2 linked regions of the Mus musculus genome follow. The protein of the gene in region 1 interacts with the protein of each later gene in a pairwise test. Links are inferred from orthologs where the notes say so. Each region holds a gene or a part of one and is shown on either strand. Other genes may lie near its edges.

Evidence for each region. The genes of interacting proteins can lie anywhere in the genome.
Region 2: the proteins of Fam161a (region 1) and Cadps interact in a two-hybrid assay, tested with the Homo sapiens proteins (2 studies listed by BioGRID). The two-hybrid records come from large-scale screens. The link is inferred for Mus musculus from reciprocal best matches to the Homo sapiens genes FAM161A and CADPS.

Annotation. Positions count from the first base shown.
Region 1 is NC_000077.6:23,006,908-23,011,146, forward strand, and holds the start of Fam161a (protein FAM161A), read left to right. Parts: upstream 1-1,439; 5' UTR 1,440-1,533; coding exon of another isoform or gene 1,534-1,719; exon of another isoform or gene 1,720-1,724; intron 1,725-4,239. UniProt on the Homo sapiens protein: Involved in ciliogenesis.
Region 2 is NC_000080.6:12,504,870-12,508,596, forward strand, and holds part of Cadps (calcium-dependent secretion activator 1), read right to left. Parts: intron 1,103-3,727; coding exon 915-1,102; intron 1-914.

The sequences.
Region 1 (4,239 bases):
TCACTCTGTAGACCTCCAAGTCAGAAATCCGCTGGCCTCGGCCTCTGCCTCCCAAGTGCTAAGATTAAAGGCATACGCCACCACTGGCTGGCCTGCAAAAGCACTTTAATGGTGCCATTTTCTTTCAGATCTACCTTTTTTTTAAAAGCTGTGTTAATAGATATCTGCAAATTTAGAATACTGTCAGCCGAAACTTTCCTATTCTATGTACACACTGATGTCCTTCATATCCATTATTTACTATTTCATGTTCCTAAAACCATCCCACTTACAGGGCTTCAGTCTGTCAATAGGTCTTGTTTACACCAAGTCCCATCACAGAACTAGTTGCATGTGGCTGGCAGAAAGTCACTATTCTCTCATTCAGATGGCTATGGATCCCTCCCCACATCTAGCTTTTCAGAACCAACCAGTATCCATCATCAGTTCCGTTGGAAAAGGCAAGCTCAACCGTTTTGAAACAGGAGGCAGGGAAGGTAAGGTGATAGGTGCTTCGCAGAGGGGAACAAGGAAGGGGTGGTAACAACTGCGTCAGAAACAGGTTCTGTGGAAGGTGTGCCGCATAACGTGGAAAGTACTGGAACCTTAGGGTGGGGACAGGGGCGCTAGCTGGGGTTCTAAGTAAAGTGTTATGCTGCAGGTGGCTGAGAGTTCACTGAAAAAGCATCCAAAGTGGCCAAAAACCTGAGGCCGATCAGGAGGTTGGCAGGGCTGAGCTGGGAGGGTGTGGTCCTTGTAGGCTCTCGCCCCCTCTAATCTGCCGCTAAGCTAGCTGCAGAACCGCTAGACAAGCTACCACATCTCACTCACTGGTCTGAGTGACAGACACTTCCTATGTCTAGTGTCTTACTGGTCAGTCGAGAAAAAAGAGGGTGGGACAAATAAGTATTCTCCTTCTGATTGGTCAACCCGCTGGTTCTTGTCAATTAGAGATGAACTGGGTTCTCCGCCATGTTGAATAGCGCGCTGCAAAGCCTGTTCTTTTCTTGGGATGGTCACCCAACACCCGGTCCTTCCTGTCCCTCTGTGCCCTAATATGTTGATCCAGCTAGTTAAAACGCGCTTTCTGCTTTAAGTCCGTATACCGCGAGAAGTTCTCGTTTAGGTAGTTAGACAGAAATAAAGCTAGAAACCAGAGAAAAGCTCAGTCCCTTGCCGGAGACCTGGGTGTCATTCAAGTGAATCAGTAATTGTTCCGGCGCTGGTGAGACTCCCATTGAGCAATTAGCTTGAAGATTGCGTTTTACTTTAGCTTGCTGTGGTAGTCGTTTGTGTAGCTTCAGACAGTTATGCTTCTAGAAACCGCAGGCTTGTATCAGAAACCATCATTAGACACTAGCTGGACTCGGGGTTCGCATTTGTGACAGTGAAAAAGGACGTTGCGTGCGTTATGGTCCGTCGCCACCTCCTGTAGCGTCCCTAGTAACCGAGCCCCTAGTAACCGCTCGCCCCAAGCCAGGATCTGTGAGCTAGGTGGCAGCGCCTGCACGCCGCCCTGGGCGGGCGCGGGCGCTTGGGCTTGGAGGCGGGGCGATGGCTTCGCCGCACCAGGAGGCCAGACTGGCGGCAGCCAGCCTTCTCCTGTCTGCAAATCCCATCACCGGAGCAAGGGTCGCCCAGTACGAAAGCGAAGACTCCTTAGAGTCCTTGGTAGCAGCGGGGTTGGCGGCGGCCATGGAGGAGGAGGAACAGAAGAAAGTGTGGCAGATGCGGGCGTCGGTAATGTGAGAGCCCGGAGGGGTCTGAGGGCTGTCCGATCGTCTCGGGCAGGACGGGTGGAAATGCGGTGTCCTCTGTAGACCCTCCCTGCTCTCTGCCCCAACTAAAGGTTGCTGCAAAACTTTATTGGAGAGTGGTTTTTTTATAGCTATTTCTAGAGTATGCAAAGAACAGAACTCTACTTCCTATTTATTCTCCAGTATATCTTGGGAATAAATAATTTTTTAGTTCTGATTTTTACATTTATTTTTGCCCCCCCCCCCCCCGAAGACAACTGATGTGCCCATAGTTTTCATAAAAGATCAACTTTCAGATGATAAGTTGTACTGACAAGTGTGTTTTATCAGTTTTTGTTAGGAGTGGATTTTAGCAGTCCATTAGCAAACCGTGTTTGAAGTTCAGTGGACAGATGCTCCAGATGTAGAGAAGCATCCAGATAAACAAACCGCCGAAATCCCAGTTCCCTAAAGGGATGATATGGGTGCAGTGAGATCTTTTCACAAAACATTTTCAGTATTATGTCCTGGATGTGTTATATGTTTCTAGCAGAAGGATATATATGGAGGAGGAGATTATACACACACACACATAATCTCTACCTCTGGAAAAGCAACCAGTACTTATAACCACTAAGCCATCTCTCCAGCAATGCTTTTATTCTTTAAAAATTTCATACAGTATATTTTGAATGTAACCACCCCCTCTCCTTCATCTGTTCTATTCATTTTGTGTGTTTGTTTTTAGATTTATGTGTATGAATGTGTGCCTTGGGAGTTACTGAGAGTTGTGAGCTACCATATGGATGCTGGGAATCAAGCCCAGGTCCCCTGCAAGAGCAGCAAGTGCTCTTAACAGTTAAAACATCTTAGCATCCTTTTAAATTTTTGTTTGTTTTCTGAGACATAGCCTGGCTGTTCTGGAACTCACTCTGTGTAGTCCAGGCTGGCCTCAAACACACAGAGCTCTGCCTACCTCTGCTTCCTGAGTTTAAAGGTGTGTAATAAAAACGCCCAGCTTTTATTCACTTTAAAAGCCGGGAACCTTGGACTTAAACCAGCACTCTGCTGGGATAAAGCACCAGGACGGGCACTCGCTCCCTCGACACCCTGTTCCTTAGCAGTGCTGGGGTGGGCCGAAGGGTTTGTGCTTGCTAGGCAAGTGGTGTACCAACAGCTACATCCTCGGCTTTTTTGTTTTATTTTAGACAGTGACTCCTTTGGTCCAGGATTGCCTCAAATTTGCTATTTGTGGCTAAGGATGACCTTAAACTCCTGATCCTCCTGCCTCCACCTTCCAAGTAATGGGATTAAGCGTATGGGGCCCCAGGCCTGGCCTGTAGCAAATGTTTCAAGGTTATGTAGAGTGAAGCAGAGCCTAACCAGCTATGAGGTTCAGAACCCTAGGACTGGTTTATACCTGATAATCATTCAACACAGCCTGTCATAGGTTACAGAAGGTGAAATGCCAGGGAAGGCAAGAGCTTGGACCCGGGTCAGAAGCCGTTTTCTTCTATGTGCTGGGTGATCTTAGGCCGTGATTTCTGTTTCTTTGTCTATAAAAGGACTATAATTGTCTCCGTTTTCCACCTTATTCAGTTGTTATTAAGAACCAAAGGAGAGAATGGGTGTCATTTCTAGAGTAATTTACATAAATTAGTAGTAATTGTAACAACTGCCAGCTTGAACAATTCACTTGGAAATTGATTTATACTTTGGCTTACTACGGCAGAAAGGTCTGTCCTTTGTATAGTTGTACTTATGTTCCAGAGTGCCCTGCTAACTGAAGATTTTTGTTATAAACTGAGTTTGGGTTTCCAACACCCAAATACAAACCCAGTGTGTTGGCTTTTGTCTATAATCCCAGTGCTGGAGAGAGAAGAAACAGGCAGATTCCTGGAATTTGCTGAAAGCCCTACCTCAAAAAATAAAGTGGACAGTGGCTAGGGAATTCAGCTAAGATTGGATGTTAGCCTGGAACCCCTGCTTATCCCCTGCACAAGCTGGGGAACTACATCTGCCCTCCTGCCAACCCCACCCACCTAAAGAAATCTCCACTGTCTGCTTGGAGAATACTCAAGCTAACATGTCAGCGCTCCTTGTCTCTGAGTTTCAGACAGCCTGCCCAAGAGTGCCCATTTGGGGGCTCAGTTTTTGACCATGCATGGACACAATCCCAGCTCCTAGCTAGCATGGCAGCACTCCCAACCTAAACTCTACAAGATCCCCTTGCTTTGGCCTGGATCTCTCACACCTGTGAGATCAGTGAGCCCACCTGAGAGCAGCCTCCTAATAAACCTGCCTTTATCTACTTCTAATCTGGTCTAATCTGGTCTGTATCTGTGTCACTGAGGGGACAAAAAGCCTGTCACTGACCTCTGGTGTACACACACACACACACATTCTCTCTCTCTCTCTCTCTCTCTCTCTCTCTCGCACACACACACACACACACATACACATTCTCTCTCTCACACACACATTCTCTCTCTCTCACACACACACACATTCTCTCTCTCACACA
Region 2 (3,727 bases), on another chromosome or scaffold:
CCGCACTATCCGAGTCATGCTTCTTATTGAGTTCTACCCAGAATTGAATTCCTTTTCTTAATGTATCTTCCCTATTATTTTTTTTTGTTGTTGTTGTTGGTGGTGGTGGTGGTGGTTTTTTTTCAAGACAGGGTTTCTCTGTGTAGCCCTGGCTGTCCTGGAACTCACTCTGTAGACCAGGCTGGCCTCAAACTCAGAAATCTGCCTGCCTCTGCCTCTTGAGTGCTGGGATTAAAGGCTTGCGCCACCACGCCCGACTTCTCCCATGGTTTTTATTTTTCATCACGTACACAAAATGCAAGCAACCATCAAACACTCCTGAAATGAACGGTAGTATCAACAAAGGCAAAATAGCGATCAGTTTCTTGCCAAGTTGGGCTGAGGGTATATATATATATATATATATATATATATATATATATATACACACACACACACACACACACACACACACACATATATACACACATATATATGTGTGTTCACAAGTAGCCTCTCAACTCCATGAGAAAACTGTCATTCCCATTTTATAGACCAGAAAACTGTAATTTTGAGAATTTAATTACCAACCAAGGTCACCGATTAAAAAAACAAAAAAGGAAAAAGCAAATACAAAACCAAAGCCCACCACGGATAATGATTGCTACCCAGACTGATTTAACTCGGGGCTCCCCTAGAAGGGCTGTTTGGTATTTCTTCACAGTTGTCTAAGGAAAGGAAATTAGTTTAGCATGCCTCTCTCCTCTCTCCCACCCACCCCATGTGTAGTTCCTCCCCTCCTCCAGTCTGTTTGTGCACTACTGGGTAAATAGGGATATATTGTGAGTTAGGGTCACTCTTTCAGGCAGAACTAGTTACAAACCACTGGAAGTTTCTTTTTTATCCTTTAGGAATACCGCTAGACCCATGCTTACCTGTTACCATGGACATGGGACGCGCAGAAGGCAAAGCTGTAGTGAAGAAGCGTGGGGTCAATCATCGCGCCATTTTCTGCTCGTTCCAGCAAGTCTCTAAGGTAGCAGAGATGCCGGTGACATCCTCGGACTCCATTTCTGGCGCAATACTCATCTAACACAAACACCTGGCCAGGACTGAACCAGCCCTGTAGGGAAATAAAGGAGAGACTTTCTTTTAAATGTTGCTTTTTGGAGAGGTGCTAGTATCAAGAGTGGCTAGAGGAAGGGACTGATAAACAGCCAGTGTTAACTCTTTTGATTGCAGGTGGGTAAATTAACTGAGCTCAGGGATGCCATGGGATATCAACACAATTGGTAGAGCTGTATCAGCAAGCAGCATGCTTCTAGGAAAAGAGAACAAGCAGGGCTCTGACATGTACTATAGGGGGTGAAGCTGGGGCAGAGTCTGGCAAGGGAAAATTGGGATACAAATGCCTTCAGTTGGTAGACAACTTGTGCTTGACAAATAGCTTTCAGCTGAGCCTTCTAGTAAGCCCGTGAGGTAGACAGGACTGGCACAGAGTCTGGGTAAGGAACCTGCTATTCACACCAGACCCAGCCCAGCTTCTACTCTGGGTCCGTCTGTTTCCCTATCTTCAGGCATAAAGGAAATTTAAGCTGGTTTACACATAGACTAAACTTTGTAAATCATTACACCTTAGAAGAAATTTTCAGTGCATTTTGAAATGAAGGTAATAACATAGCATCTAAATGGCTAGAGTAAGTAAGTTGCCTCGGATTCAATTGAACAAAAGAGAGAGATTTCTCAGGACTGCATCTATAGTCCCACCCTACCCCCTGCAATTATTTGTTTTCCTGTTTATATTTGCTCACCATGAGACCAGCCAAACCTTGCTGCAAAAGAGAATCCAGATGGAGTCTCTGATAGTAATTCAGCATCGTGATGGATAGAAACCCGTGTCTCTCTTATGTAACTGGAAAGACAGGTCCCTAGCAAGGCCAAGTGACTTGGCATTGAGGGTCAGTATGGATAGAGTCTAAAATCAAACCATGTTGTCTCATTTCCATACTACCTGAAGCAAGCAATAAATCAGTCCAGGTGGCAGTTTCTAGATTGGACATTTGGGCTCTTTTTAACAAACTTCATTTTTCTTTGAGGGTCTCCTATGAGGTTTGTTTGTTTTTTTTTTTTAATATTACTGCAGCTTGGATCGAAGGGATGAGGGAGTCAGTGATGTGGAACAGGGAGAGGCCAAAGGAGTCTGGAAGGGAGGGCTTTGCAAGGCTCTCATCTTGTATTAGGATCTGGGGATCTTCAACTGGCAACGTGCAGCTCAGCGATGCATCCAACGAAAGACGGCATCTTTCCTATTTCAAATTATAAGTTCCTCCAGAGGGCGGGAGAGTAGTTGAGGCAGTGGGCTGCCCCTATAGGCAACTTCTTTGCCACTCCATCTGCTACCCCAAATGCTAAATCTTAGAGACAACACTGCTGTGAAAGATTAAAATATATTTTCTACGACTCAGATGACACCAAGTCTTTTGTAGATGCCAAAATAGCTGCTTTGAAAAGAGTTGAAGAAATATCAATTAGGAACTGAGTCGAAGACACAGAAAAATTTATGTATCCCTGCTGGTCGGTCTCCAAAACCAACTGAAAAAAAAAAGACTGTACTAATGAGAAAAATGGAATAGAGAGATAGGGGATAAGGCCCTTTACATTTCTGTTATTTTCTGAAACTCTGGCCTTAATTAATAGATCCAGGTATATAATCAGGAAAGGGAGTTGTTCTGGGTCACTCATAATTATTATTTTTAAATTTGGACTATGTAGTTAAGCGTATAGTGATTAATGGGGAACAGGCATCAGTCTGTCATCTCCGGTTATATCTTTAGAGGGCATATATTAATTCTCCTTCGTGGTAAATTTCAGAATGAAAAAAAATTGTTTTCAAACACTGACGTGAACAAAAGTCATAAAAGGTGAAACCGTCTCAAAGTGTAAACATGTCTCACAGTGTTCATCACGTGAGAAGAGTTCCTGCTGAAAGGGTGGCAGTGCTGAGGCACACCTCACGACGGTCATAAATGTAATTAGAGATACACAATAGTAGGAAATCTGAGAAAAATGGACTTGCAATGCAAGGTAAGGTGTTTTGTTTTATTTGTTTGATTTGTTTTTGTTTTTCAAGTCAGTGTGGTGTTCCTTTCCAACTTGGCAAAGTAAGAGTCTCCAATGACGAGATTCTAAATGAGATAATGTGTCACTGTGAGCCATAGATTAATAAATTATCTTACAGAATCCCACTTCTATTTTAAGATGATTTTAACCTCTTTAAAAAACACACAATATCTTCAAGCAGCAAAAAAGGGGAACTTAAAATAATCATTCAGAATAAGGGTTTATGCTAATGTCAGTTAATTATATAATATTAATGTTACATAAATATATTAACTTTCATGTTTGAAGTCAAGGAGAAGAACTGCTCTCTGCATAAAATCATTTGATCATCTCCCTCCTTCTTTTCTGTCTACAAAGTAGGATTAGTAAGTAATATTTACGCTTAAATAAATTCATCATTTAGAATCTGAAAACAGAAATGAGCTGAATCTTTGTCATAGTTTGGGGCTTGATAGTTGTAAACCAAAAATGTGTTTTCAAAAATTGGATAAATATGTAACAGCAGTCTTTAAACTGAACTAATTTGACTGAGGGTTTAAAATGAGATTTCAGGGTATGTAAAAAACCCTGCTGGGTAGCTGAGCTTCTAAATGCCTACTGCACCTTTAAAATTTTTTCCTCAAGGGTA